Regions from separate parts of the Mus musculus genome. Here all the other regions are reported to be linked to region 4. The links are microRNA targets in miRTarBase. Many come from high-throughput screens and were not tested one by one. Region 4 holds a microRNA gene; each other region holds the end of a gene's coding sequence.
The links. The annotated mature microRNA mmu-miR-3102-5p reads GUGAGUGGCCAGGGUGGGGCUG and lies in region 4 at 3,425-3,446, opposite strand. An mRNA with a match to its seed (bases 2 to 7 or 8) in the 3' UTR can be bound and repressed. Matches are read on the target gene's strand: a 7mer-m8 pairs with bases 2 to 8, a 7mer-A1 pairs with bases 2 to 7 and ends in A, and an 8mer does both.

Region 1: miRTarBase lists Usp2 as a target of mmu-miR-3102-5p. The part of its 3' UTR that is shown has no 7-base or 8-base seed match.
Region 2: miRTarBase lists B4galnt2 as a target of mmu-miR-3102-5p. Seed matches in the 3' UTR shown: 7mer-m8 at 3,201-3,207.
Region 3: miRTarBase lists Rfk as a target of mmu-miR-3102-5p. The part of its 3' UTR that is shown has no 7-base or 8-base seed match.
Region 5: the mRNA of Eogt is a reported target of mmu-miR-3102-5p. The part of its 3' UTR that is shown has no 7-base or 8-base seed match.
Region 6: miRTarBase lists Wars2 as a target of mmu-miR-3102-5p. Seed matches in the 3' UTR shown: 7mer-A1 at 4,055-4,061.

Annotation. Positions count from the first base shown.
Region 1 is chr9:44,093,101-44,098,173 of GRCm38, reverse strand. Usp2 (ubiquitin specific peptidase 2) reads right to left here. Exons shown (of 13, transcript NM_198092.2): 12 at 4,927-5,047; 13 at 2,547-4,400. The coding sequence ends at 4,313. Gm38444 (a long non-coding RNA gene) reads left to right here. Exons shown (of 2, transcript XR_379336.2): 2 at 1,981-2,362. Among named protein-coding and RNA genes, the nearest start is that of Gm38444, 3.5 kb to the left of the region's middle.
Region 2 is chr11:95,861,428-95,866,490 of GRCm38, forward strand. B4galnt2 (beta-1,4-N-acetyl-galactosaminyl transferase 2) reads right to left here. Exons shown (of 11, transcript NM_008081.3): 11 at 2,132-4,849. The coding sequence ends at 4,644. Among named protein-coding and RNA genes, the nearest start is that of n-TQttg6, 4.7 kb to the left of the region's middle.
Region 3 is chr19:17,398,985-17,404,057 of GRCm38, reverse strand. Rfk (riboflavin kinase) reads right to left here. Exons shown (of 4, transcript NM_019437.3): 4 at 2,709-4,585. The coding sequence ends at 4,455. Among named protein-coding and RNA genes, the nearest start is that of Rfk, 7.5 kb to the right of the region's middle.
Region 4 is chr7:100,878,964-100,884,036 of GRCm38, forward strand. It overlaps Mir3102 (microRNA 3102), which reads right to left and starts at 3,446; the gene lies at 3,343-3,446. It overlaps Arhgef17 (Rho guanine nucleotide exchange factor (GEF) 17), which reads right to left. Exons shown (of 21, transcript NM_001081116.1): 4 at 4,805-4,921; 5 at 4,507-4,599; 6 at 4,153-4,329; 7 at 3,810-3,860; 8 at 3,447-3,556; 9 at 3,257-3,342; 10 at 2,730-2,848; 11 at 2,216-2,429; 12 at 1,638-1,711; 13 at 970-1,169; 14 at 489-793; 15 at 1-91.
Region 5 is chr6:97,107,678-97,112,750 of GRCm38, reverse strand. It overlaps Eogt (EGF domain-specific O-linked N-acetylglucosamine (GlcNAc) transferase), which reads left to right. Exons shown (of 18, transcript NM_175313.5): 17 at 1-70; 18 at 545-2,727. The coding sequence ends at 691. Among named protein-coding and RNA genes, the nearest start is that of Eogt, 39 kb to the left of the region's middle.
Region 6 is chr3:99,215,915-99,220,987 of GRCm38, reverse strand. Wars2 (tryptophanyl tRNA synthetase 2 (mitochondrial)) reads right to left here. Exons shown (of 6, transcript NM_027462.4): 6 at 785-4,529. The coding sequence ends at 4,081. Among named protein-coding and RNA genes, the nearest start is that of Gm38468, 18 kb to the left of the region's middle.

The DNA.
Region 1 (5,073 bases), not on the chromosome of region 4:
GATATTATCTAATAAAAGATGTATGCGTCTCTGTGTATGAGTGGACATGCAGGTGTGAGTGTGAAAGTCACAGGTCAACTTCCAGAAACCAGATCTCTCCACTGTGGGGACTGAACTCAAGTCCATTTGTGTAGTGCATGCTTTTAGGCATCCACTGTGCGCCTCTCTAGCCATAACTTCTTTCTTGTTAGGTATTTGGTCACTGTGTGCCACACTTTTTCTCATGTAGGCCTCATGATGAGTTGGTGTTCTCACCATCAGCTTAGAGATGAGGATACTGGGCACAGAGAGGGCTATGGTTGCTGCCCACTTCCTCCTGCCCTCTGCAACTGACACAGAGTTGTTGTATTCATGAATGTTGAAGGGTGGGGACCCTTGGAAGTGTCCAGCTCAAACAGACCTAGCTCAAACAGCTAGCTCATGCTGGCTTTGTTGCTGGGCACGTGTGCATGTTGCATATTACATGGCTGTTCAGTTTGCGTCCTAATGGAGTAGGAGAATTCTGCCAAGAGTCCTGCCAAATGCTGTCACCAATTCAACCAGAATTGTTTCAACCAGATGGAGCAAGAACTAGGTGAGATCTGTCCTGTCTCAGGCATGGCCAGGTGGTGCGGCCTTTGACAGGTCTCGAACCCTCACTGTCAATAAGACAGTAGGGATGAGGCGGCTTCTAAAGGCTCAAGTCTAAACATTCAAAAAATATGAATTGGGTTACTTAATTCTGAGGCTGGAAAGATAGCTAGCACGGTACCAAATCCCCAGCACAAGGTCTGTCCCTGCATTTTTAATTTTATTTTTTATGTGCATCGGTGTTCTGCCTGCATGTCTGTGTGAGGGTGTCAGATCTTGGAGTTACAGAGAGTTGTAAGGTCTATGTGGGTACTGGGAATTGAACTCAGGACCTCAGGAAGAGCAGTCAGTGTTGTAAACCATTGAGCCATCTCTCTAGCTGGTGCGATTGCTACTGCTTTGGTAAGGGAACTTGCTATAAAACCCATGACTTGAATTTCATTCCTGAAAATGGAGGAAAGAGAGAATTGACTCTCAAAAGTTCCATATGTATGTATGTCATGGTGTCCACATGCTGTCCTAGAATAAATGTAGAAAACCAACAAAACAAACTATAAACTGGGCCAGGGAAGTATGGGTGTGTAAGTCCCAATTCAAATGTGTGTTTGGAGGACGTGAGCAGAGAGAGCCCTTTGGTTTAAACGAGGCCTTGAAGGCCTACCCAGAGGGAGCTCTTGTTCAAGGTCAACTGCAAAGGCAGCACCTTCTCTCAGTGAGGGCCTGCAGGCCTGCAGGAACACCAGCTAAGAACAGGCGGAATAATCCAAGTTGCTAGGAGGCGACAGATCACAAAGAAACGCCTGCCTGCGACAGACCTGCTTGTGTTTGGGGTTTGGTGCAGTGCTAGGGACTGTTACCATGGGGATGAGATGGCGCCACAGGCTAGGCAGAGAACGGAAAGCTGCTAGCAAGGGCAAAGGCTTGACTCCAGTCCCTAATTCCTTAGTCTGTCCTCTGGAGAACGGAATGCACAGGGTGGCTTCTACCATCACTGAAAAGACGAGGCACCTTTAAGTTGGCAGCGACCCAGTTTCTATTTAGGAGAGAGTCTTGTTTATATGTGTCTGCCTGGGAGAAGCCACCAGCTTTGAGATAGCTCATCCATGGTCCTGCCATTCCTAGGGTGTATGGGGGCAGGGTGGGGAGGGGGAGTCCAAGTCCCTCAGAGAGGAGTCACGAGGTTTGTTTAAATCTTTCTTCTTATGCTACAAGTGTGGTTTGCTGGGTGGAGCTCCAGCCTAGCATACCAGAGGCCCTGGGTTCAATCCCAAGTACCAACTAAAATGGAGTCTCAGTCCCTACAGAAGCTCATCCGAGGCCTTAGTCAGCTTGAGGGCCACCTGTACTATATGAGATCTTGTCTAGAATAATAAAAGTTATCTTACTTTTTCACTCCCATGAAATTCCCAGGTTAGAAAGCTGTCTTCCTTCGTGAGGTTGGCCAACCAGGAGCACACACAGGCCCCAAGTGACACAGGTATTTGTGCCACAACAGAAGATGGTTAGAGAAGACTTTGCTGTTCCAATGCCTACAGTGCTACAGCCAGCTAGGCAGAGAAACCACCAGCTGTGTCCGTTTCCCCACTGATGGCCCGGGTACCACCAGCTGTGTCCGTTTCCCCACTGATGGCCCGGGTACCACCAGATGTGTCCGTTTCCCCAGGTGTTCACACTGTGCCCTTGGCAGGTTCTGTCTGGAAGATGCTGCTGGGGTCTTTGGAAGTGTGATGTGCCTCATCTCTAAACATCTTGGCTAAAAGAATAAAACACGTGGACAAACGCAACCTGCGAATCCAGATGTGGCATATGGCATCTGAAATATGTACTATTTAAGGAACAAAAAATAATTGAGAAGTTTAACAAGTGGGTAAGCTAGGATGCAGCACTTATGGCAAAAGCAGTGAACTGTGTGGTCCTCACTTTGCTGGGAGCATCCCGGATACAAGCCCCTCCCAAATCAAGACCGTCACACCAGCTTCCTTCTCAAAGCTACTATTTATTCTGTACAAGGCTCCACTGTACACTAGACATTCTACTCTTGCTTACATAGTAAACAAGTGTACACCAGCCCTTGGGCTCATGTTCACAGGTCTTCCCTAGAGAAGGGTATCAGGCCAGGTAAACTCAGGGTGTCTTTTCTTGGGTGCCCTGTCCTGGGACACTCAAGCACTCGAGGTTCTGAGGGCATAAGCCAGGCCCACCTGTGGGGGGTGCAAAATGCACTGTGCGAAATGCCTTAGTGCTGAATAGCTTGGCTCTTGGGACAGCATGGAGTATTTTTTTTTTTTTTTTTGTCTAACGTCAGGGCAAAGAATCATACAAGCTAACCCCAGCCATCCAGGCTCACACTCCCAGGACAGGACCAAAGACTGATGCCAAGATGGGGTAAGGGGTGGTGTGGGTGTCCCTGAGAAGCTCAGTCCAGAGGGCCTTTGTCTAAGAGACTCTGGGAAAGGGACAGGTGGCAGGAAGCTTGGGGGATAAGGGCATCAAAAAGAGAATAAATTAAAGGGAGGGGGGAGTTGAGGGGCAAGGAGCCTGTGCTGTCCTTCAAACAGCTGGGGAGACCGGGGTGGGTGAGAGGGTGGTAGGAAGAGCTTGATACACTATCTTAAGAATCACCATTTACCCACTTCCCTCTTTTACTGCTGTGCACAACAAGCCAGGGGTTCAGGGCAGGACCCCGCAACCCCAAGTGGCTTTCAACATGGCACGGGGATAAAGGGAAGCAGCTGAGGGAGATATCTCAGGAAGGGGAAGTTATCCCCTGGTCCCCAAATGCTATAAGGCACAATTCTTGGAGGCAACTAGATTCCATTCAAAATATTAAAGGGGAAAAGAAAAAGCAACTTCAAAGCAGAGTAACTTTAGATCCCAGGTCTACTGTGACGATGCTTGGGCCCAGCCAACACTCACCCAGCACACGGGGACTAGCATTAGGAAGGCTGTGTTTGGAGAAGAAAAAAACAAAAGAAAAAACCGAACAACAAAAAAAAAAAGAAAACAGGGAGCCAGCCCAATGTCCCAGCTGTGAAGAGAGGTGTGAAGGACCACATCTCCAGTCGGAACACGTTCGTTACAGTTAATTAAAAAAAAAAAATTGGGTTTTTGAGAACCCAAACCAGCTTTTTTTTTTTCAAAGATGTCACCCTCATCTGTACCCCTGGACTTAGCAGCGTTAAGAGGGCTCTTGGCTCATGGGCGTTTCCTCTCTGGACTGGTGAGCAGGTCCAGGCAGGACGGCCTCCCGCAGGCTCCTCCCTAGCTCCATCCAGCAGCGATGCTCCCAGCAGGCTCCAGATGGCGCTGTCCTCCCAGCAGGTGTGGCACTGGGGGCAGCAGGTGGGCTGACGGTCCTCTCCCACAGACCGCTCTTGTTTTTATTACACACAGGAAAAAAACCACAAGCTTAAAAATGCAAACGAGAGAAGCCAGCCGAGGAGCCGAGGATGCTGCTGACTGTCTCCGCATCAGTCCGTCTTCCTGCCAGGCCGTGCGTGTGCATGCGTGGCGCAGGGGCACATGGCTCCTCACTCCAGACCCTGACCAGGCTGTATCAACTTCTGCTCGGCAGCTTTATTTTACTTTATTTTTCTCTCACTTGTCAGGATTTTGTTGGTTTTTTTGTTTTTTGTTTTTTTTTTTTTGTGGTGTTTTTTTTTTTTTTTTTCTGAATTTTTTAAAAAAAACTTAGGACGTGGGGCCACCACAGGGAAGAGGGAAGGGCCGCAGCTCCTCAATGCTACATACGGGAGGGTGGACTGGCCAGTTCATAGAAGAGCAAATAGGCGTCGCTGGTGCGCACTTGGCTGGAGGACATGGGTGTGACACTGTGGAAAGATCAGGGAAAAGTCAGAGCCTGTTGAGGAAGGCCATGGGGGACACAGCAGAGAGGCTGAGCTTGAGCCAATGCCTCTAACTTCTCTATGCCAAGGTAACTTCTGCCTCTTGTCCTTTGAGAGGTGTGTTGTTAAGATTCCCATTATTTTTAAATACCATGTGTATGTGCTTATGTACGTCCATGGTGGCCGATGGCAACGAGCCCCTGTTCTCTGCAACCGCAGTGGGAACCCTTAACTGCTGAGCCACTTCTTCAGTGCCAACCCATTTTTTGAGACAGGGTCTCACATAACCAAGGCTGACTTCGAACTCACTAAGTGGCTGCAGATGACCTTGAAATCCTGACCTTCCTGCCTTCACCTCTCAGGTATTTGATTAGTGAGCCACCATACCTATCTATCTCTGACAGTCCCAGAGAGGGCAGCATACACGTGGTATGATGGTTCTGTCCATTCAAGATGGAAGCCATATGAGATGACTGCTGTCACGGAACCCTGCTGGAATTCCATCTCTCACCTGGAATCATTGAAAGTGTGCCATTCGCCTGTAACCGGACTTCGGCAGTAGGCTGTATAGTGGCCTCCCATGGTGGTTCCGGAGTGATTGGACACAGCATACAGGTTGTAAACAGCATGGTCTGAGGGGGCAGCACAGGGTTAGCAT
Region 2 (5,063 bases), not on the chromosome of region 4:
GTAAGCGTGTGTGTTTGTGTGCGTCGGCCTGACTATCTTTAGCTTGGCCAGTTGAACTCAGTCCAACAACTGACACCCAGGAACCAGAGATTTTAAAACTGGATCCAGTTCTGGTGGTGTCTTCGACACCATTGACCTCAGTGCAGTAAGGCAGCCAGGCCATGCCCACTGTCCTCTCAGGTGACATGCCAAGCAAACTGGCCTTGTTGGGCCCCTGGTTGCCTCAGTCCCTGGATTCTTGGCCACTTCCCTGAGCTTGCTTTGTCTACCCCCTTCTAGTGCTATGAGCTGTCCACTATTCTGCTAAATTCCTCTTCTGTGCATGCAGTCACGAATGCAGTTAGTCCAAGTCCAAGCGCTCATTTGGTAAGAGTCTGACAGTTTGTCCCTGAGTGAATGGATAAGAGATTTTCTAGTGTGGGTGTGCATGGCGGGCGGTGTGCACGCCTTTAATCTGAACACTCTGGAGGCAGAGGCAGGCGAGTTTGAGTCCAGTCTACAGAATAAGTTTCAGATCAGCCAGGGCTGGGCTATTATCGTACAGGGAAACCCTGTCTCCAAAAACAAACAAACAAACAAAAAAGTAAGAAGAAAAGAAAAGTAGTTTGTAGCTCTTGCATATTATCAGAAGGAACACTACAGAGTTTCCATTTTGAGAATTAACCCCATCTGACATTGAGATTCCTGATAGGTTATCTCCGACGATGAAATGAGCCAGCTCATGCCAAGTTAAAGTATAAAGGCAGGTTTATTGGAGGCAGCTCTTAGGCAGGTTCACCAGTCCCAAGAAATGAGACCAGGGAGGTCACCGTGCAGACAAGGAGACAGAGCGGAGGGGGGAAGAGAAATGCAGAGGGGGCTGGGGGTACAGGATGCCCAGACCAAAACAAAATGTCTGGATTATATAGTGAAGAACCTCTGAGGAGAAGCCCAGCCTCTGGGCTGCAGAGTTCAAGTAGGGACTGAGGGATGCTGGGAGAACCTGGAGGCCAGGTCTGCTTTGGTAAAATACCAAAACCTCAGCCTCTTGTCCTGGGTCTGAAACCCAGTACCTCAAGGCTGTGCTTGAACACTAGGCATTTGTAGACCTCATTTATTTTCCCGCTTATTTCATTCTTACAAAGGCCATGTGAGCTGGGCGTGGTAGCACATGGCTTTAATTCCAGCACTCTGTGGGCACAAGCAGGCTCATCTCTGTGAGTTCCAGGAGAGCTAGGGCTACATAGAGACCTGCCCCACCCTCCGAAAGGGTCCCATGACTGCACAGGACACATTGGCATAATTTCCCCCTCCCCTCCCCGCCCCCCCCCCCCACTCCCGGTCCACTTTCCAGGGTTCACTATATAGCTCTGTAGCTCTCCTGCCCCACAACTGGCTCTGTAGACCAGAGATCGAAGACATTGTCACCACAACTGGCCTGGTATGGGTTCTCAAGAGGATTATATCCCTACAGCGAGTGTGTAGGTGACAGTGACTGCCTTTGTGTCCCCACTTCTCCATGCTCAGGTTTGTCCCAGGCATTCCCCACACCTTCTTTCTTAACTTAATCGAACTGGCACACTCACTGTAACCCTACTTGTGTTCCTCTGGTGGCATTAAAAGATTGCTTCCAGCCGGGCATGGTGGTGCACGCCTTTAATTCCAGCACTTGGGAGGCAGAGGCAGGTGGATTTTTGAGTTCGAGGCCAGCCTGGTCTACAAAGTGAGTTCCAGGACAGCCAGGGCTATACAGAGAAACCCTGTCTGGAAAAACCAAAAAAAAAAAAAAAAAAAAAGATTGCTTCCCTGTCTTTGCTTACTGCAGTATGAATTAGCAGGAAGGGGGTTCGTTGTGTTTCTGTTTTTTGTTTTTTAACCTGCCCTCTCACTCCACTTGATGTGGCTGGCAGTCTCAAGAGTGGGCCCTGGGCCTTCATAGTCTTTAAATGTGGCTAATGTTTTAACAGACTTGGTCACTGAGCCACTTGCTTTGGGACACGGGAAGACCCAAAGGAAGAAATGTTCCAGTTTTGTGCTCAGAGACTCTTAATATCACCCTGCCATGTGACACTAACCTTGGGAAGATGGGGACAAACATGTACTCACTCCAATCAGGAACCAATGACGGATCAAAATAAGCACACCACCCGAGTCCAGTATAGCAGACTGATGAGTTTTATTGGGGTTACAGACAGAAGTATGGGTGAGGGGTTACCGCAGGATCACAAATGACTCGAAAGACAGCGGCACCATGAAAGCTCACCATGTCACAAAAGCTGTAAACTTGAAGCCCTCTGTACAACTTGCAGACAGCTCAACAGGTTAGAGAATGTCTGTTTCAGGCAGCTCAACTTGTCTGAGAGTGCCTCTCAGCAGTCTTCACAGCTAATATACTTGGAAAAGAGGGGGCCTAGTCTGTCTGGTGGGTTTCAGGGAGTCCCTGAACCCTTTGAGTTGAATGGATGTCCTTTTAGAACATCCTGTGTTCCTGGGGAAGAGGTGTTACTGGATCATAGGAAACTAACTCACTCTCTGTCTCTCTCTCTCTCTTCTGGAGAGATGGTTCTAGATCTTGAAGTAGAGAAAAGACTGTGTTTGAGCATGCTAACGACAACCCAGTCAAAATGGAGGATGTTAACATTTGCTGTGAGAATGCCCAGGGTTACAGACTGGCAGCTATGCCTTACTTCTGGGAATCTGAACTCAAGTCCTCATGCTTGGGTAACAAACACTTCACCTTTTGAGCCATTTCCTCAGCCCCTGATTTTGGTTTTGTTCTGAAAACAGAACAAAACAAAACAAAACAGAGCTCACTGCCTAGCCCTGGCTAGAGGATCTCTGAATTCAAGGCTGGGATTAAAGGCCCACACCACAACTAGCTGGCATGTCATTCCTCGCCTCCTTACCCACTGGTGTTTGGCTTTCTATGGTCTAGCTCAGAGCAATATTTACCTCAGGAAGTAAAAAATAAAGTGTAAGTATGTTCAGAGTGTTGAAATGGGCTGGCGAGATGGCTCAGAGGGTAAGAGGATGGACTGCTCTTCCAAAGATCCTGAGTTCAAGTCCCCGCAACTACATGGTGACTCAACTACCGGTAATGAGATCTGACACTCTTCTAGTGTGTCTGAAGTCAGCTACAGTGTACTTACGTATAATAATTATAATAATAAATAAATCTTTGGGCCGGAGTTAGCAGGGACTGAGAACAGGGTTGACTGGAGTGAGTGGAGATTCTATCCCCAACAACCACATGAAGGCTCACAATCTTTTCTTTCTTTTTTTTTTTTTTTTTGGTTTTCCGAGACAGGGTTGAAAGCTCACAATCTTAACATCCATCTTAATATCCCATTAAAATCAAAATATAAGCCGGGCATGGTGGTGCATGCCTTTAATCCCAGCCCTCGGGAGGCAGAGGCAGGCGGATTTCTGAGTTCGAGGCCAGCCTGGTCTACAGAGTGAGTTCCAGGACAGCCAGGGCTACACAGAGAAACCCTGTCTCAAAAAGAAAAAAAATTATAATGAATAAGTATATTTAAAAGTCAAAGTTTAAAAATCAAGCTAGAGACTAGAGAGATGGCTTATCAGTTAAGAGCACTGACTGCTTTTCCAGAGGTTCTGAGTTCAATTCCCAGCAACCACATGGTGGCTCACAACCATCTGTAATGGGATCTGATGCCCTTTCTGATGTGTCTGAAGACAGCTACAGTGTGTGTGTATGTATGTGTGTGTGTGTAAATTCTTTTTAAAAATCCAAGCCAGAAATTGTGGTTCACACCTCATACCTCAGCACTGGGAAGTGGAGACAGGAGGATTGCCATGAGTGTGAGGTCAGTCTTACACAGTGAGTGCTAGGCCAGGCAGTCTTGACAAAATAAAATCGGAATTATTTGGTTAATATTTAGCCATTCACTCATTCCTTCATTTATTTTAAAGCGTATTTTGTGTGCATATGTGTGTGCCTGCGTGTATGTATGCACCACTCATATGCAGGAGCCTTTGGAGGTAAGCAGATGCTTCCAATTCCCTGAAACTGCAGGTATGAAGTTGTGACTCATCATGTGGGTCCTGGGAGCCAATCTAGGTCCTCTGTCCTAATCGCTCTTAAGCACTGAGCTCTCTCCAGCCCCCTAGTCACTCATTTAAAGATGGGCTGTTACATAGCCCAGGCTGGCCTTGAACTCAATCCTCCTACTTCAGTTACTGGGCTTTGGGATCACAACACTACACCAACCTTATCATCTGGCTTTAAATAACATTATTTTAGATCAACTTATTGCCTTTTTAAGATAAGAGTTTCTCTGTAGCCCTGGCTGTCCTGGAACTCTCTCTGTAGACCAGGCTGTCCTCAAAATGCGCAGAGATCCACCTGCTTCTGCCCCCGGAGTGCTGTGATTAAAGGTGTGCCCCACCACCTTCCAGCCCTTGTCTTTGTCTCATTCCCTGCCCTTTCTCTCTCTAGGGCAGATAAATCTCTGTGCTGAGAATTTGGTCTTGGGGGTCCTGAGCCGACTTCAGGGTCCTACCCTAGCTCCAGCTTCCAGCTTCTTTGTTCCCTGTTCCCCTTGTTAGGAGTCTGCTTTTGGTACCCTCCAATGTCCAATCCTACTATTTTTTTTGTTGCCCGCCGCTAATCTGTTTATTGCGATTCCTGGTCTTGGTACTTTTTAAGTGGAGCAGTAGAGATGGTTCTTGAAGTACTGGAGTGCAACCTTGAATTGGATCACAGAATTGGTGTTGGCCCGGTATTTGTCATAAGTCTTCTCCAAGGCAGCCAGCTTTGGATCCTTTGGTGGTGTTCTTACTTGGTGGTTTATAATTACACCCGGGCAAGAGCCCACCAACAGTCTCCCCAGCCCATCAATAAAGAACTCTGCAAAGAGAAGAGGAACGGGAGACAAAAGGAAGCTAAAGACAGACAGCTGTGGTTCCCCACCCACGCCGGACAGGGAGCCCTGGAGCTGAAAGGAAAGAAACAGATAACCTCAGTTTCTCAGATTGGAGAGTGGGCGTCAAGTCCGCTGGGTTCCACTAAATGGGACTGTGGGTTCTGGAGAGGAAGGGGTGAAGGGAGAGGGCAGTCCCTA
Region 3 (5,073 bases), not on the chromosome of region 4:
AAAATGGAGAAAATAAAGCTGTTGGTATAAAAATGGGAGATGTGGCCTGCAGAGGAAGAAGCAAGCTGCCTAATGAAACCCAGGTAGAAGTTTTCACAGTTCAGCCGCACAGGGCCACGCACCTGCAATCCCAGCACTTGGGGAGTTTTAGGTAGCAGTTTAAACTCAAGGCCCTGTTTCTTAAAAGTTACTACCCAGGCGAGCAAGATGGTCAAGTGTTACAAAGGCAACTGCTGCCAAGCTTGACAATTTGCATTCAATCCCAGGAACCACTTGATAAGACGAGAACTCCCAAGGTTATCCTCTGACACACCATGGTGTACACACACACACACACAACATACACACATACAAATGAACACAAAATAAAAAACAAACAAACAAAACAGGAAACAAGCCAACCAAGCTAAGCTGAGTATGGTGGGACACACCTTTAATCCTAGAATTTGGGAAGCAGAGGCAGGTGGATCTCTGAATTCAAGGTCAGCAAGGGCTATACACAAATTAGACCTCATGCTAAGATATACTAAATGTTCTTGCCAGAAACAAGTAATAAGGGTTCAAGAGGTTGGGGTGGAGCTGTTCAGACTGCTTGCCTAGCACGCATGTGACTTGAGGTTTGAGCAGTAGCATGATAGTATTTACTGCCAGCCAGGCATGACAGAGCACTCATAATCCCAACACTTGGGAGGCCAAGGCACAATGACATCAGTGAATTCCCAAAGGGCCTAGACTACACACATAACGAATTGCTGTGTCAAAAACCAAAGCAAAGCAATGGACAGAAAGCCAACTCGAAGGTTCATCCTGGTTCCCAGCTTTCTGAACACTATACGCTGGTGACTTTGTTCTTATTTTGGGTTTGGTGCTGGGGATTGCAACCAGGGCCTCACACATACTAAGTATAGCCACTACCCCTTAACTACATACCTAGATCAGCCCCTCTTCCTCTATTTAAAGATAATCTTACTGTGCTGAGGCAGGCTGGTCTCCTCAGACTTCAGTGCTGAAGTGCTCTTGCTTCAGCCTCACTAACGCTAGAGCCCCAGGAGCATGCTACCATACCTGGTTTTCCACAGCCTTTACATAGCGTGGCCACGCTCATTTCTCTATACATTCAGTTCTTTCTTTCTCTTCTTTCTTTCTTTCTTTCTTTCTTTCTTTCTTTCTTTCTTTCTTTCTTTCTTTCTTTTCTTTCCTTCTTTCTTTTTCTTTCTCTATCTCTTTCTTTCTTTCAAAACACATGCTTTATTTATATATTATGGTTTAATACTTTATGCTTATGGGATTTCTTTTTTTATTAGATATTTTCTTCATTTACATTTCAAATGTTATCCCGAAAGTCCCCTATACCCTCCCGCGCCCTGCTCCCCAATCCACCCACTCCTGCTTCCTGGCCATGGCATTCCCTGTACTGGGACATATGATCTTCGCAAGACCAAGGGCCTCTCCTCCCATTGATGGCCGACTAGGCCATCCTCTGCTACACATGCAACTAGAGACACAGCTCTGGGGGATACTGATTAGTTCATATTGTTGTTCCTCTTATAGGGTTGCAGACCCCATTAGCTCCTTGGCTACTTTCTCGAGCTCCTTCATTAGGGACCCTGTGCTCCATCCAATAGATGACTGAGAGCATCCACTTCTGTATTTGCCAGTCACTGGCATAGCCTCACAAGAGAGCTATGTCAGGTTCCTGTCAGCAAAATCTTGTTGCCATATGCAATAGTGTCGGAGTTTGGTGGTTGTATATGGGATAGATCCCCATGTGGGTCAGTCTCTGGATGGTCCTTCCTTCCATCTCAGCTCTGAACTTTGTCTCTGTAACTTCCATGGAGTTACAGAGACATGTAACTCTCAGGAATGCAGTCCTTTCAAGAACTCACTCTCTGCTGTCTGTAGAAAACTCTCCATCCAGTGTTTCTGACTTATGATCACATCCTCTTTGGCAGATCTGATTTGTTTTCTAGCTCAGTCTCTAACAATGAAACTGATTTTTCTCTATCAGTCTCACTTCTGTCCCAAGTACAAGGGGGAACTGGAAGACAACAGCACTGGGAAAGGAAGATGGTCCTTGTAAGTTTCAAGTCACTGGTTCTCACACCTCCCCATCACCTAAGTGCCCTACCTGCAAGCTGCTAAGTCATCTCAGAGTTCATTCAGATGAGTGCTGAAATGCACTTCTTTGTAACAAATGGAAAGAATGCCCTGCAGCAATGTGTGGGGTTGTGGCACATCCATGGTTACAAAACAATCTTGAGGATTATACAGGAGTTAGACTTGTCTGGCTCCTTTAGCTCCCAATAGGAACCTTTATTCTTAAAGAGTTGACTTTTTGAGTAATGATATCCTCTGAATCCTTTCCATGTAAAGTCACCTTGCTACAGGAATTTTAAAGGGTGGGTGGGTGGTGGTGGTGGTGGTGTGTGTGTCTTGGCCAGGCTTGATGCACACTTTTAATCCCAGCATTCAGAAGGAAGACACACATGGATCTCTGTACTTTCAAGGATAGCCAGATATAGAGACCTTGTAAGGTCTTTTAAAAGGAGGAAAGACCCCTGAGATGGGGGGACTGGGAGGGGGAGGGTCCTTGAAAATAAAGCTCTTAGTCACATGAGCACCCTTACTTGATAGGTCTACTCAGGATTGTAAATACAGGTGTATAGTAACAAACAGCCAGTATACCCCAAACAGATACAGGATTCAGGTTGACAGGGGAAGAGGGAAAAAATAAGTCAAATTTTATTCCAATGCCTGCAAACATTCAGACTAATCAACGTGGTACCGTAATTTCTTTTAATACATCAATAATAGTTTTTGAATTCTAGAGAATTAACTAAGCCCTAAATCACACATCATGTAATTCCAAAATAACGACTAACAAAATGAGATAACATTAGCCATGAACATTGATATACTAACAAGCTATTCTTACTTTAAAAAAAAAAAGCCACAGATCTATTTTGTACTGTGCATATTTGTTTTTAACTTTCCTTCATAAATCCATTGATAATTAAGGTTTCCTTTAAATACAGGATTTCCAACATCAAAAATTCTATTCTGAAGGCTAGGGATGTTGCTCAGCCATAGAACACATTCACAGGGCTGAGTGAGTCCCATCCCTCCCCACACCACTACTTCTACACACATGCAGAGACCAAGTCTCTGGGTGTCTGTGTGTTGTTAAATTACCTTTCTATTTTCACGTGCATGCTCCCACTTAGGCAGTGCCTCTGCCCCAGCAAACCTGTTGCCATTCAACAAATGATGATTCAATGCCCCGGTGAGGCTGAAGCAATCGAGCATCCAATGTCAACCTTCTGCCAACATAAACAACTCAGGCCACCAAGAGGGAAAGGGGAGGAACCAGGGGAAAACCAAGAGGGAAACCAGGAGATATAGAGATATGCAACTGGAACTTATCCGGTTCTGAAGCTACAAGGACTTTTAAATTATGTTTAAGTGCCTGGTCATAGAGAACTGTACTTACTTTGAAAGCACAGGACCACACTTTAAAAAAAAAAAAAAAGGCAGGGCAGGGTTGGGTAGGAACTGGCTATGTTCATTTCAATTCCAAGCAAGTCTATAAATGCAGCTTGTTTTATTTTTCTTTACTTGAACCTGACCACCATTTAGTTTTGAGCAGAATGGCACACACACAAGTAATCTCTGGGCGACATGGGAAGAAAATAAACCAAAGTCACAAAAATGTTAAAGAGCAAAACCACCTAATCTTCAAAAAGGCAACATATAGACATCCATTGTATGGCTTCAAAAAGTAAAGGGGGCGGGAGCCTAGCTCAGTGGTCACACTTGCCTGGCGTGTAAGGCACTGGGTTGGATCCTCAGTACTTTGAAGAAAAGCAAAAGCCCTGATGAGGGGCAGGCGATCAAGGCAACTTCAACCTGAAGTAACTGCACACAGAGCATTGGGACACTACCAGGAAGTGACCTCAGGGGGAGTCGTGAGTGACTCAAGGAAGTTTGCAGGATTGTAAAAATATATCAATGCACAAAATGAGAAAAGTAACTCTAATTTTTCCTTCATGGGTAAGCTCTGTGTGTGTGTGTGTGTGTGTGTGTGTGTGTGGTGCACTTCCTGAAAAGCCTCTGTTCAGCACAGGCTGGCTGGGCTCACCAGTGCCAGCACACTCAGTCACAAGAACTATGGTCAGTCCTCATTTTCCTCAGGAACTTGCTTTTCCACCCACACTCACAGACTTTATTTTCAGTACAAGCTTTCTAGTGCTACATTTTAATCAACATATTACATCTAAAGTCTTGATTTCTGAATGAGTCTCTTAGTACTGTGCAACATGATGGAGTGAACTGCTGGAGACCACTTGACAGCTACAGGAAAACGCTTGATTTAAAATATGATCAAGATGAGAGTGTATCAGAAGCACTGTGACACTATGCGTGACACTAGTGGTAGGCAGGTAAGGGACTTTTCATTAGTGGCCATTCATAATTTTGCCTTTAGAAACTTGGAAGAAATTATCATCTTTGAGTTTCAAATGTTCGGGTAAATCCAGTTGCTTTTTAGCTTCTTCAATATCACCTTGAATTGCAGAAATAAGTGACTCTGGAAAAAAAGAAAAAAAGAAACTTCTAATAATCCATGTTACTATTCCTTTGCTCAGCCCCTCCTAAAAACACTGACTAAGCACCCTAGCCACAGCCCTGGGAAAGGACAGAGATTCAGTCAATGTTGGAACCGTCTTTTTCTCCAGGGAAAGCCAGTGTTACATAAAGTGTTCTCTTGTAAAGAGACCCTTCACCTCCCAGGGTTTAATGTCACACTATACCAACAGGCACCTGAAGACACCAGAAGCAGATCTCTAATTACTGCTTGCAGCACATACTGCCCAACCACCCTTGCAGGGTCAGATGCCAGGTGCCACCACTCACCACTAAGTGCTATGACTTGAGTGTCCCCTGGAACTCAGGTACTAGAAACTAAGTCCTCAAGGTTGAAGGTATTTGGGAATGGGAACTTTGGGAAGTGGGTCAGGAGGACAGAATGGATTCCTGAGTACAGAAAATGGCTGTGATACAAGAGTGAGTTCTCTT
Region 4 (5,073 bases):
GAGCCAGAGAGTGACAGGAAGCCAGGCTCTTGCTCTTCCTCAGAGCTGGTCGTCTCTGCAGTGGCTTCCTTGGAGCTTGGGGTCTCTTCATCTGAAGGGACAAAGATCTCTGTCCCTATTCCCCTCCACCGGGCAGAGATCCGACATCTTTCTAGGCCTCAGTGTCCCTCCTGGACACATCGCTCCTACCCCTGGTCCCCGTATCTGCTAAGGCCTTTCCCCTGCTCACTCTCAGCACTCACTACAGGTTCCCAGTCCTTGCCTGGCTGTCTTAAGTCCAGCCACATCTAGATGGAGGGACTAGCCACTCTACCCAATACCCATCTTCCTTAACTGTACTCGAAGGTCCCCAGGACTCCGATGTGTCTGAGTCTTCATATTCCCATCCCCCACTTGGTAGAAGCTAACACCTAGTGAACCGACTCCAGCCTTTGCCTCCTCTGGTGTCCCCTCACTTGCTGTCCTCTCAATCCCCACCCCACACTCACTTCCAAAGCTGGAGGAAATGGTAGATTGGCTGGCTTGGCTCTGTAGAGTCCCGGAGGGGCTGGGTGAAGATTCGTCGTCAGAGTCGCTGTCAAAGGGCACCAACTCGGGCTGGGGGTCACCCTTAGCAGGGCCTGGCTCCATCTCCAGGCCCGATCCTGAGATGGAAATGTGCAGGCAAGGCTGAGGCCCTGGCTCAGCCAGCGTCGTCGCTGCCTCCTCCTCAGCTGTGGCCTCAACATCTAGCTCTGGCCCAGTGGATTCCAGTGTGGTCTCTGGGGGGTTTCTCAAGGGCTCTGGCTGCTCTCTAGAGACAAAGGGAAAAAGAACAAGGGATGCCACTAGGAGGCGCCCGAGAGAGCACCCCGTCCGACCCCGCCCACGGACAGCCCACCTCCCAGCCCCGCCCAACGCCACCGGGTCAACATTCAATGTACTGGGCCAAAGGCTAGTGGCATTGTAGGTTCGCCACCAGAGCCTTACCGCGGGCAGCGTGGTTGCAGGCCTGGCACCGCTCCGATACAGAGAATGCGGGCAGAACAAACAGCGATGCAGGCCTCCACATCTGGTTCCGCCCTCAAGCTTAGCAGGCACACCTGACCTACGTAGCCATCACTGTTGCACACCCAGACCTCTGGCGCCGGCTCTGGGCAGCTGCTGAAGGTGGGGGCAGCACACGAAAACTGTGGGAAACCCCAGTGGACAGGGAAAGATGAATGACAGAATCCTGTCAGGACCGACCCCGGCAGAACAGAGGGGCGGCAGGTTTGCATCCATCTCTGTACCATGCTACACATCAGTCAAATGCACCATGCCCGATAGAAAAGTCGCCCAAACCTGTATGTACACATACATGTACTCCCAATAGGACCATGAGTGTATGCGTTTAATTAATATGTGACTCTGGTACTACTGGTTAGATATTAAAACTCATATAGGTGTATGAACTAGACTTCAAATCTACAGCCTGTGCACATATGCACATGCCATACACATTACACATGTAATGTGCATGTGTATATACTCAAACACGGGGAATAATCACAATGTTTAAAATACATATGTGAGATGGTACACAGCACAAAACCTCATACACATGTATGTAGCTTTGAGTAGACACGTGTCTACATGGCCCACACGCACACACACACCTGCATGCCACTGCGAGTCTTCATGATAGGGATGGCCTTCAGGAACTCAGGGTCTAGACAGCTTTTACTGGATGCTGTAGTAGAGGAGACAGGGCAAAAGGAGAGAACCCCTGCTTAGCACCCACCTTACAGTGGCTCTGGTCCCTCCCCATTCCAGTCTCCCTAGGGAGGGCCGGGTACCAGCTCAGCTAGAATGAGAGGTCATGGATTACTCCGTTTGTGTCTGGCCTCAGTTTTCCTTTCTGTACAATGAGTAGCCCTGGATCTCTAAGCTGTAGACTTAATAATAACTTTCCAGGACTTAGCTGAGTCTATACTGAGGAAGAGGAAGGTCTTGGTGGTTCAGGCGTATGCTGGGGTCCCTGTCCCCAAACGACTCTGTCCAGGAGTTCCTTCCCCCCCAGGAAGAAGCTGGGAGCCAGAGCAAATGTCCAGCCTGCTGCTTCACTGTGGAAGTCTCAGGCCACCTTCCCTATCGGCCGCTGGAGGACAGGAGGGCAGTTCAGAGAGTCCTGGCTTCTACAGTCAGGACTGCACAGGGACTGTGAGAGAAGACACCAACATGAACTCTGGCTCACCCAGCTTCCTCTTGGCCTCATCAAAGGCCTGCTCAAAGCCCAGGCGGGCATCCGGGTGGGGAAACTCAAAGATGTAGGAGTCGGTGCCCTCGGGCCGGGTGGCGCACAGCTCCAGCTTGGTGGGCGGGAAGGCCAGGGAGCAGCATAGCGCCTGCTTTTCTGACAGGTCCCGGTGCATGGCGGCCGAGAGATCCCTCAGTGCATCGTCTAGACTCTGTGGGAAAAGAACCCAGGCCTCAGGCCAAGGTGTCACCACATGGGCACCTGCACCGAGGGGACCGTGGAAGGCAGCCTCCTCCTGCCACAGACAGGGATGGGCCTTTCTCCCCCTCAGAGGTCTCCTCCCTCAGACCCCGGACCTGTCACTTCCCTTAAGTGGGAGCAAGACTATAATTTTCCCCTTCAGATAAGTGACAGGACCAACTGCTCCCTCAGGCAAAAGCCAAGACTGTCTGTCCCTCAGGCAAGGTCAGGGGAAGTCCCAGCCAACACTGCCTTAGCTCAGGGCACAGACCTGGTGGGGGAAGCCGAGGCTCTCGGAGAGCTTGCTCATTTGGCCCAGGGTGGCCAGGTCCTCATCCAGGCGGCTGATGGCTTTTTGGATGGTCTCCCGATTGGTGGCTTGAGACGCCCCTGGCGAGGACAGAGGAAAGCCATGAACACATCAAACAAGGTCAAGCTTGGACAGACACACTTCCCTTAGCGCACAGCCTTCAGCTGAGCACGGGATTGGTCTGGCAAATGGGAGCACTTCCAGACCCAAGCTCTCAGAAACAAGGTCAACAGGTAGCTCTCAGAAAAAAAAAACAGGCCCGGGAGGAGAGGTCTGGTTTAGAGTCACAGGGCACAGAACGGCCAACTCTTGGAGAACTTGCTAGGGCACTAAGAGGATGATTTGCATGGAAACTAACCCGGTTCTTCAAAACCAATCTCTCATATGGGATGAAAGATGAGTCACAAGAGCAGACAAACCAACAGACAGGCAGGCAGACTCAGGGGAAAGCCACCAGCAGAACCCCTGACAGACTCAGCCAGCCTCACCCTTGATGATGTCTGTGTCTTCCAGTGGCAGCTTCCACAGCATCTTGTATTTGCTGGCTGTATCAATGACGCTGGCTGCTGTGTACCTGTGGGTAGCCAATGGGGTGCTCTGGCTGGGGCAGGGAGTAGAGCCCACAATAGATCAATGGCTCTCCTGCCTGCACCACCCAGCCCCACCCTGGCCACTCACAGGCTCATGGAGCTGCGCCTCAGCGAGCCCGACTTTCGTTTCAGGGTGGTACAGACAATGAGGTCTGTGAACAGGAAGAGGGATCGGTCCTTCTTGCCTCCAATTGCCTTCTGTAGGGTCCAAAGTGGCATTCAGGCTCAGTGTGCACAGTCTAGAGGCCGACCTACATTACCCTAGTTCCCCAGGAACAGCAAATCCAAGGGAGGGGTGAGGGCTCTCCCCCACTTATGTGGAATCGGGATTCATGCAGGGCTCCCATTGTGTGGTGCTTGGGGAGCAGGAACCAGAGGGCAGCAGGCGCCAGAGAGTGAACTTGGGTGGGTTGAAGGTACTTGGGGGAACAGCCAATGGGAGAACCCTTACCACTTCAATAACCATCTCCTGCCTCAGGAACCGCCGCAGGGGGGCCTGGAGCTGGTGGGTAGGAGAGAACTAGTTATTAGTCTATTAACCCTGCAGTGATCGGTTGACCACTCTATGAACGAGGTCAGCCAGAGCGACATCCTGTCCTCGCTTGCATCACTGGGCTGCCAGACAGGGACACAAGGTCAGACAGAGGAGGAGGAGGAGGAGGACACAGAAGGGTGGGGCACTGTGGTCACAGAAGCAAGCTGACCACAGACCTGGACGTGGATGGCCACAATCCGGGTGACAGATGAAGACACAGACAGGGACAAGTTGGGGCACGGCAGGGTGGGGCACGTACATCCTCCATGCCCTCGATGTGGGCTTCGATCTCCTGAAGCACGCGGGCATGCCGCTCGGCCTCCTCAGCGCTCCGCACACCCTTGTTGATGCGCTCAGCCACCTGCTTGATGTTGCGCTGAGCATCGAGCAGCAGTGGGTGGTCTGGATGGTCTTCCGGTGTGTGCTTCAGAAGGTCCTGGGGCGGGAATGGAGACCTGTTTAGCTGCCCTGAGGTATTGAACTGACTGCTGGAGCATGAGAGACCATGGTATAGGCATCAAGGAGGACTTTCTTTCCTGCCTGGAGTCTGAGAACAGACATACTCCTCCCCCCGACCCCCAGGGCCTCCCTGTCCAGCCAGGCCCGTGGTTACCTTCACCAGAAGCTCATAGCGTGGGATTCTCTGCACAGGCTTGATCATGAGGTCGGACAGCGCCTGCTTTTCCTTGTTCTCACGCATGCTTTGCTGAAACCGAAGGCAGAGTGGAGGGAGTTCTCACATGAGGACTGACACGGCAGGAAGAGACACGCTCCTAGCCAAGTCCCTCCAGGTGAGCCCAAAGGCAGAGGCTGACACACTTGCAAGCACCACAATGTTTTTGGTCAAGAGCTCCTGGGATGCCCAGAGCTAGCCTGACATGTTAGCTTCACCCCTACCCCAGTCCACATACCTCCAAGAACTTGAGAAAGGCTGGCCTGGCCTCCTTAGCTACACGCACAGCATCCTTTGCATTGAGGAAGTTATCAATATAGGCCGAATAGATGTTCACCAAGACGTCTTTGGAAAACTGTGGGTGAGGAAGCAGGTTAGGCAGGCTCAGGTGTCCCTCACCCACTTCACCCTGTCCTGGCTTCTGTCTATTTAACTTGAAATGGTCAGGCAGGTCTTCTCTGTCTTTCTCAAAATTCATACATGTTGCATGCATGAACGTGACTGAAT
Region 5 (5,073 bases), not on the chromosome of region 4:
CCTGGCCAGGCTCAGAGGCATCCACTACATCACCTGGCGGAAGCCCAGCAAAGTATTTCCTCAGGATAAGGTAACATTCACCAAATGGTTTGGAGTCCAGTTATTAAAATGCAAGCCATCACTGAGCCTCTGTTCGTCTCTTGAATACTAATATTTTTTATTTGCAAGTTAGAGAAAAATCTCAATGTTGTTAAAACAGCTTACATCAGTTTACATACAGCAGCCATCAGCAAACAGTAGCTCTAATGGTACAGATCTGGCCTACGAATTGTTTTTGTAAATAAAGTTTTATTGGGTACCGCCACATTTGCCTGCATATTGTCTGGGCTTGATTATGCATCTCCTTGGCAGGGCATCTATGACTGAGAGCAGATGGTTGGCAGAGCTGAAACTATCATTGGGAGCTCTGTGGGAAAAGCTTGCCAGCCCATGTTGTACGGCATAAGTTGAAACAGTTGCGTTAGCCAAAGGAAAATGATTTTACGTCTATAGAAAGACACACCCTTCGGTGACTCCGGGATTTTGTTCTGGTTTGTTTCTGCAGGGTCACCATCCAACTCTGGGAGAACACCCGAAGTTTACCAACTACTCTTTTGATGTAGAAGAATTCATGTACCTTGTCCTTCAGGCTGCAGAGCATGTACTGCAGCACCCACAGTGGCCATTTAAGAAGAAACATGATGAGCTATAGAAGTGTTGAGGTTGTTTCCAAGAGTGTTGACACCCTCTCACAGCCATAGACTCACAATCAGAGGAGCAGAACAGCCTGTCATATCCTACTGTAAGAGGAAACATGACGTTTTACTTCTGAATATAGCTCAGGCTGACCTTGAACTAGTGATCCTCTTGCCTGAGCCAACTGAGTGCTCACCTTACAGGTGTGCCCCACCATGCCTGTCTACAGAGTTACTTTTTGTATATGAAAGCACACCTCCAGGAGATGCTAAGTCTTCCATGTGTTTATTGTGTCTTTGCTATTTATCAAAGGTATTTTTGCACTGAAAAAGGTTACTTTTATAGTTCAAAGGTGGGCAGATGCCCATTGGTGTGGCAGAGCTCTCCTGTGGGGATGCAAAGTTGTCAACATCGGTGGCTTCAGACTTGATATATGTGTTTGTTAACTGTAATGTGATCTTGATTCCAGAGTGTCATGGCTTCATCTATTTGGATAAACTCATCTATTTGGATAAACTCAGAACTGTTGTTATTTGCCATTGTATGTTCATAAATATGGTTGTAGGGTCTGGGCACATGGCTTAGTGTAGAATGCTGGCCTTGCATGTATGGGCCTCTGGGTTTAATCCCTAGCAACACCACACACACACACACACACACACACACACACACACACACACGTCTAAGTCTGTGATTCTCAGGACCAAACTATAGGACTACGTTATAGACCAGTAATTAGTCAACTCCAGATTCCGTGCATCAAGAGCCTGACAAAGATCATGCTGTTGTATTTATTAATTTTGTTTCTATATCTCATTTCAATCATGTTCTCCCCAAATGTAATGGCAGTGTTGATAAGAGCCTGTCAGAACATTCTGTAGTACCATCTCCACTGACGCTTCAGCCGTGAAGACCCTTCATGCTGACTTGGCATGAAGTCTTAGTTTCCATCAGGCCAGTGTTTGTGAGCACACACGGCTGTGTGTATCTACCTCTGGCAGAATGGAAGTAACCCTAGTCTCTGTAAAACACTGCCAAGTAGCCACATGAAGAGAAGACACTTTCCCTGTTTATTTGTTTTTTGATTTTTAAAATAAGGCCATTAAAAACACGGTAGACCTGTGAATTATCCAATCAAAACAAAAGCCCCAAGAAAGTGGCACTGAGCAAACAGGATGCCCAGCAGCAGGCTTCCCCTGGACTGCCTTTGTTTCTTACTGCTAAGCACATAGCTCAACAGTCAGAAACCATGGGTTTGTTCTATTGTACAGTGTGATGCTTGTGTCTTATTAACATCTGCGGCATCTCATTTAGAAGCTACTTTTAATTTTTTTACAATGCACTTAGCAAATCGCAGCCAAGGACTTCATTTTTTAAATTTTAGAGAAGCGACCTACAAAATAAAATATTGGTGACTAACAGCTCCTCGGAGGTTTGCTCTCTTTTCCTTTCAGGAATTGTTAAAAGAGTTGTAGACTTTATTTATTAAAATACCTTTCAAGGAAATAGTGGCCCTCTATAGGCAGGACTTCCCTTTGGGTCAAAAAAATTCTTTGGAAAACATTGTAACATGAGGAATTGTTAAATGACAGGTTTGCTGCTGTTCCGGGTGCAGGATATTAGGTAGGCAGGGGAAGAAGGGGCTGTCCCACAGGAAGGGGAGGGAGTGGAAGGATCATGTTGCCCCGGACATCGAGGACAAACATCTGAGACTGTGTCTGGAAAACCTTCCTTTTACCTCATTTCAAGCTGCACAGGGACCTATGTGTTCACAGACTACCGAGGATTCCAGAAACTGAGGACACTTTCATACTGAAACCGTATTTGAATATTTTGCAATTAGAATATACTTTATATAAAGACAGTCATTTAAAATTTTAATTAATGGGATTAACTTTTTTATCAGACTTTTGGTGGGAGCAGAAGATCTGCAGATTGTTGTAAAATCTAAAATGTAGATATGGCCCTTTTTTATTAAGTCTGTAAGGAGATGCATTTCACTGTACATTTTGGGTGTAGCTTTGGAATAAAGTTTTCTATATTTCATTTACATATCTGAACATCTTCAGGATTTTCTGTGTTTGAATGTCACATTCCTGCTTTAAAAATAATCTGGTGGCTTGCGCATAATTAAAAAAAATTAGCTCACTGATGAAGGATTCAGTGTAATCAAAAATTATACCTCACATTTATTTAGTAGTTGTATTATCTGATGCTTCCACAAATGTGGCCCTGCACAAACTTCACCAAGATAATAGGACAATGGCTTTCGTGAGAAAGTCAGGGGCTGGAGAGATAGCCCAGTGGTTAAAGCACAGGATGCTCTTCCAGAGGATTCAGGTTTGACTCCTTGCACCCACAGAGCAGCTCACAACTATCTGGAATTCCAATTCCAGGGGGTCCGACGTCCTCACACAGACATACATACAAACAAAACACTAATGCACATACAACAAAAATAAAACATTAGAAGCGTGGTGGTGGTGGTGAATGCTTTTGATCCCAGCACTTAGGAGGCTGAAGCAGGAAACTCACTGTGAGTTTGAGGCCAGCCTGGTCTACAGAGTGAGTTCCAGGACTGCCAAGGCTAAAGTAAATGAGACACCTTTAAGTGATGCCCTGAAGGTTTCAGGCCTTGCAATCCAACACAGATTCTTTGATTGCTCCTGCAATCAATGCGGAGCCAGCTGCTGCTATGTACCAGTTACTCTCAGTGGCCTCTGGGAAGACAGCTTAGTTTCAGGGAACTTAGGTTTTGGTAGTAAAGATGGGCACTGAGCAACATGGATATGGGAAAACACAGTGTTCCAGACCCTGGTACTGCCGAGGAGAAAGCCAGGGTAAGGAAAGGGTGTGGGGTCTAGATGTCAGTGGAGACCTGCAGGCTTAAGTATAGGGTTCTCATGGAGGAGGTGACAGTTGAGTCTAGAAGGCTACAAGGAGTGAGGGATGGAGGTAGGAAGATGGTCTGACAAAGAGCATACCCAAACTGGAGAAGGGCAAATGCGAAAGTCTCCAGGCAGAGCCTATGTGTTGAGTTTGAGGACCAACCATTGTAGCTGATATGATAGAGGAGAGACAGAAGTTCCATAAAGGATAATGCCACATGTAGACAGCAAAGCTCTTGTCTTTTCATTCTGATGAGGCATAGATCACCGAATGGATCTATACAAAGGAGTAAGGACCTGGCTTTCCCTTGGACAGTGTAACTCATGTTGTTAGACTGAGAGCAGGTAGCAGACAGATGTCTTAGGCTGAGTTCTTGGGATAACAGATTCTAGAATGAAGGGTTGCAAGCTGATGGTTTATTGTGGGAGGATTCTCATAATCATAGTTGAAGAAGCACGAGGTCCAAAGGGGGCAGGGGAAAGCATCACCTGGAGTTTAGTAGAGAGACATCTTTAGGGGCACTGTGGTACGTACGATCTTTCAGAGAAGTCCCAATGGATATGGGCGGTACAACCATCCATGTTGGAGCCATAGAAGGGGGAATAGGGAACCTTGACCAGGGCAACTCTCCAGATGGGGGCAGTTTTCAGGAGAACAGGCTGCTAGAATCCACCAGCATCCCCTACAACCTGGAGGCTGAGAGCCTGTCTGCAGGGAGAAGGCAAGACACAGTGCACAATATCCACAGCCAGGAGAGGGCAGTGCTTGGGCTGGTTCCATTCTCCCATCAGTTTCTGGCCAACTAGAAGTTTGAGTTTAGAGTCTTCATTGCATGCAGATTTTGTCTCTCTCTTCCCTTCCCTTCCTTTCCTTCCTTTTCTTTCTTCTCTTTTTTCCTTCCTTCCTTCCTTCCTTCCTTCCTTCCTTCCTTCCTTCCTTCCTCTCTCTCTCTCTCTCTCTCTCTCTCTCTCTCTCTCTCTCTCTCTTTCTTATTTTTAAAAAGTAACACAGATAACACCATGAACTTCAAGCTATAGATTGTTAAGGGTAAGGACAGTTCTTATTTTAGAGAGTAATTATTTCAAGGTTGGTGGCCATACTTGGGTTCTGTTGAGTATTATCAGTTAACTCCCCATTCCTACAATATTTCTAAAGTCAAAAAGATAATTCTCCTATAAGTTTAAACAGAGAGGGTAAGAAATGTACCCAAAGCCACCCAGCAGGCCACAGAGAGGTGGATGGAGGGGGTTCTTTGTGAAGAGATTTTACTAGGGATGCTTAAGAGTAGGTATGGAGGGAGGGAGGGAGGGGAAAGTTAATGGAGACCACAGAGCACAGGGAAAGATGTTCTTAGGTTTCTTACAATTACCAAGCAGTTTTCTTTGAACACAGGGAAAATAGAAAAAATGTTTTTCAACTGGAAGCCTGTCTGTCAGCTCAGGCGTGATTGCTGCAGTTTAGTCACTTTCCTCATTACGGCGTCAAGATACCCTACAAAGGCAACTTAAG
Region 6 (5,073 bases), not on the chromosome of region 4:
CAATTTATGTAGGTGATGGTTGCAGACATTTAGCACTGTACCCAATAGACATCAGAACTGATAGTGCTGGGAGTTGCTTTGTGATAACCACACTTGTGGTGTGCATCTGGAAGGGTGTTTTTTTGGGGGGAGCAGGAATCATGGTGGGGGAATCACACTTTATTAGAAGTCTCTAGCACATTTTCTGGTAATACTCTGATAACTATCATATATCAAAAAGATAAACCAATGAAGATGAACCTACTCACTGTGGAGAGGGTCTAGTTGGACAAGGTAGTGTGCAGTGGGATTTGTCAGGAGGCACAGTTACAGGCACCATGCTGCCTGACTGCTATAACATTATCATTTGAAATATTTTTACATTTCCATTCTCTATAGAGCTAATAGGAAATAACAATAAAATTTTCCTTTTGAAGTCAACCATAGTTGTCAGTTGTTTGTATTTCTAACTCTACACACACACACACACACACACACACACACACACACACATTTATTTATTCTTGGGCCAGCATGGTGGTACACTCCATTAATCTCAGCATCCAGAAGGCAGAGGAGCTCTATCAGTTCAAAGCTAACCTGGTCTACACAGTAGACCAGTACAGCCTGGGTTATGTAGAGCCCCTGTCTCAAGAAAAAAACAACCTGCTGGGCCTGTAAACAACAATGGGAAGGGGTGAAGAGGCACACTAGGCTGTATGCAGCCTTTGCTCTCAGCTTCTGAGGCGACAGGGTGTAACAGATAGCTAGTGAAACCTTTTCTTTTTTAATTTTACTTTTTTTCAGGGGGGTTGTCTGAGGGTATTTCTAGAAAAGATTGGACACTGAGTCAGTAAATGAAGACTTATCCTTGTCAATGTTAGCAGGTCCTAACCAATCCATCAAGGGGCCGCCTCAAAAATGTGGGAAAGGCCAGTTTGTTCTTTCCTTGAGCTGACCCATCTTGGAATGTCATAGTTTATGGTTCCCAGACTCCGGGACTTGCACAGGAGTCCCTGTCCAGTCTCTTGGCTCTGAATTCCTTGAACTGACTATGCACCACTGACAAGTTAGCCTTTAAGTCTGGTCTGGATTACGCTGCTGTCCTGAGTCTCCAGGTTAAAGACAGCATGCTATGTTTTCTCCCAGTCCTTGTAATAGTGTGACCCAATCCATATGGCAAATTGTTATTATTTTAAGTGTGTAATTTTTAGTTATGTGAATACAGGTGCATGCTAAAGCCAGAGATATCTGACCCCTTAGTGCTGGCATTTGCAGGCAGTTGTGGGCTGCCCAACATGAGTGCTGGGAAAAAAACTTCATGCCATTGGTCACTGAGCCATGCTCCAGCCCCTGGTAAACTAACTTCCTCTCCTCTCTGTCTCTCTGTCTCTCAGAACTTACCATTTATTTATTTATTTTATGTATGTGAGTATACTGTTGCTCTCTTCAGACACACCAGAAGAGGGCATCAGATTCCATTACAGATGGTTGTGAGCCACCATGTGGTTGCTAGGAATTGAACTCATGACCACTGGAAGAGCAGCTAATGCTCTTAACCCCTGAGCCATCTCTTCAGCCCACTCTCTTTTGTTTCTATGTGTCCTATTGGGCTTGTTTCCCTGGGGAACTTTAATACATTGATTGAGCAAGAATCTTAATTATATGGCAAATTTAGATTTTCTGCAGTAAGAGTCTTACATAACAGAATGCACTGACCCTGTTCCTTAGACGTTATCCTGTTCTAGTGTTTTTGTGTTTTTTGTTCCCTCCCCCTCTCTTTTACACTTTTTCTTTTTTTTTGGAGATCTTTTCCTATTGCCTTTAGTTCTTGCTAGACAGAAGCATTGCTAGGAGGTAGAGACCACAGAGCTAAACAGGCAATTGGCCTGGTAGATACAATTCCCAGTATTCCTAATAGATTTCTTTAAAAGGAAGGTGAAAAGGTACTGGTGGGCTGCCTCAGTAGGCAGGGGTGCCTGCTGCTAAGCCGGACAGCCTGAGTTTGAACCCTGGAATCTACCTGGTGGAAGAAAGCCAGCTTTTGCACTGTCCTCTGACATCACACATGTTTTGTGGCATGCATGCATGCGCACGTGCGCGCGCGCACACATACACACACAAATGCAAACAGATAAAACGAAAGGAAAGTAAAAAAGATCTTTAAAAGAAATACACTCAGTGATGCTCTCAGACTGCAGACATCTCCCACTAAGGTGCAAAAGATAAAACTAACTGGCCCAACGGGAAAGTGTGCCTGATGACCTGAGCTCGAGTCCCAGAACCTACGTGGTGGAAGGAGAGAACCGGACCCCACTAATCATCCTCCAACCGTGACAGACACACCTTAGCATGATCTCACCCATTCAAACACATACACTAATAAATAAATGAATTAAGAAAACAACATGCACCCCCCCCAAAAGTAAAATGTACCCTTTTCCCGAACCTAGTTGGTGTTTTAATCTGGACTCTGGGATACAGTGTCTCCTACTTCCAATTCTATGTGACAATCGAGGTGAACTCAACCTTAACATTAAAAGTAAACATTTATTTATTTTTGTGTGTGGGTAGTCCTGTGCATTTCATTGTGGTGTGTGTGTGTGTGTGTGTGTGTGTGTGTGTGTGTGTAAGTCACAGTACAACGTTGAGGAGTTGGTTCTCTCCTTTATTTATCACATGGATCTCAGGGATTGAACTCACATAGTCAGGCTTGCTTCACAAAAGGAGCCCTTTTCTGCTGAGCCATCTTGCTGGCCCTGCAAAATCAATCTTGATACAGGCCTTGGGATGTAAGCCAGGACTGCCATTCGTTTCAGCTGTGAACATGGACGTGCAGAGCTATACTCTGTGATTTCACAGAGCCTGAGGCAGGCTGAGACGGGAAGCTTCCCTTCACTGGAAACGTCAGATGCTTTAGACTTCGCTCCCACTGGAATCTGGCCGAGACAAGCAGGCATCTCCAGCATGAATTTGGAAGTGAGGCCATGGGACCCATTTTTGGGGTTTTGAAAGGTAAGTGTGACCAGAGGTGGCTGGATCCAGATTTAAAATACACAACCATTAGCTGAGTTCACATAAACAAAAATCAGTATTTCAGCCTTTATCTTTTCAGTATCCAAACTGAATACTGGAATGTTTAGAGGTCCAAAACTTTGGCCCTCAGAGCTTTGGGAGAAGTCTTAAAAAGCACCAGTCTTGGAAGCAGGGGAGCTAGGCCTTCACTCTTGGACTTGCTTCTTATTTACTTAGTGACACTGTACAGCTAATTCCATGTTCTACCCCTCAGTTCCTATGTGTTCCACAGAGGTAGGGTTTGGTGAGACTAAACTGAGATGAATGTAAAAATAGAAGTGCTTATTATGAATACAACCAGGAACACAGGCCCTGTATAATAAATAGATGGAACTGAAGCAATATAATGCTCTCCAATGACCTCCTGGATCACTTAAGTACAGACATTTGCTGAAATAAGTAAGTCAGTGTGTGCCTTTTAAGAAACAAGTAGGTTATTGTATTTTTACTTAGGCGCGCATGTGTGTGTGTGTGTGTACTCATACCATGGCAGACAAGCGGAGGTCAGAGGACAACCTGCCAGTCAGTTTCTCCTTCCACCATGCTGGCCCTGTGGATTGAGCTCCAGCTATTCAGCTTGGCAGCAGGTACCTTGAGCCCGAGCCACCTTGCTAGCACAAGTCAAGTCATTCCAATACATGAGGATAAACATCATCACATCATCATCACATGAGCTGCAAGAATGAACCTCTCTTTATGAACTGCAAATACCCACTGGATTCAGGATTGCAGCATAGGACCTGTCTGCACAACACAGACAAAGTGCACCTGCACAGTAAATACTGCACAAGCAAGCACACGCCATGGCTCAGTAATTGTTCACGTTTTCGGGAATACTTCAGACCAAAAAACTGTGTGTCATTGAACTGGAGTGGAAGAGCTGTGCCTGCCTCAGGGATTGGAACGTTGCTCAATTGACAGCAGTCATCAAATGCAGCTGATCATCACACTCAATTGAATTTGGACAGGCTAAAATCTGTGGGAGGAAAGCTGCCTTGACTTGAGTGCAGTGACTGGCTGACCTTGCTACAGAATCCCCACCAACTTCTTCACCTCCTCGAACACAGGAGAGGCCAATTCTTTGGCTTTTGCAGATCCAACAAGTAAAACCTTTCTTAAGTGGTCCTTATCCATTTTCAATTTCTCAATCTCCTTCCTGATTGGAGCAAATTTCTCAATCACAGCATCGGCCACTAGCAGCTTGTAGCGTGCAGTGTCCAAGCCTGCGCTACTGCGCACCACCTCCTCCACCGAGAGGCCCGACACGGCCGCGTGGATCGCCACCATGTTGGAAACACCAGCTCTGCTGTCCGGCTCGTAGGTGACCTCTGACGTGAAGTCTGTCACAGCCTTGCGGAATTTCTGTACAATCTCCTCTGGGCTGTCTGTTATTCGAACAGTGGCGAGTTTGTCAGGGTCCGATTTTGACATCTTGGAAGAAGGGTCTCGAAGAGATTTCACTTTCTTCATGGATGCTAGTGAAAACAAGGCAAGTCACCGAGAACGTTACAGTCTAGTCCTGGAAGACACCAACCCCGCCAGAGATACTGATTGCACAATAGCATGTCTTCATCTGGAAGAATTTGTGCAATTTATCAAACATGGAAGTAAAGACATCAGAAACAGGACTTGCTAATGTGCCATCCATAGCATGTATTGGCAATGATTCATCCAGTGTATGACTGACACAAAAGAAACGATGTCGGTTATACTGCCTATGCTATGCACACTTGAGGGGTACAAAGTTGCAGCTCAGGTCACAAGCCTTGCAAAGCAAGTGCCTTTATTCTCTGCCATCTCTCTGGCTCTGTGCACACTTGATTTTTAATTTTTGTGTGTGTAAATATATGCTTGTGTCATGGCAAGTTTGTGGCTAGAGAACAGCTTTAGGGAACTGGTTTTGAGGTAGGGGATCTCTTGTTCTTCCTGCCACTGTGCGGCTGGCCATGCTCCCGTGTCCACCTCCTCCCTTGCTGTAGCAGTGCTGCAGCTTTAACCATCTGTGGCCATCCTTCCACG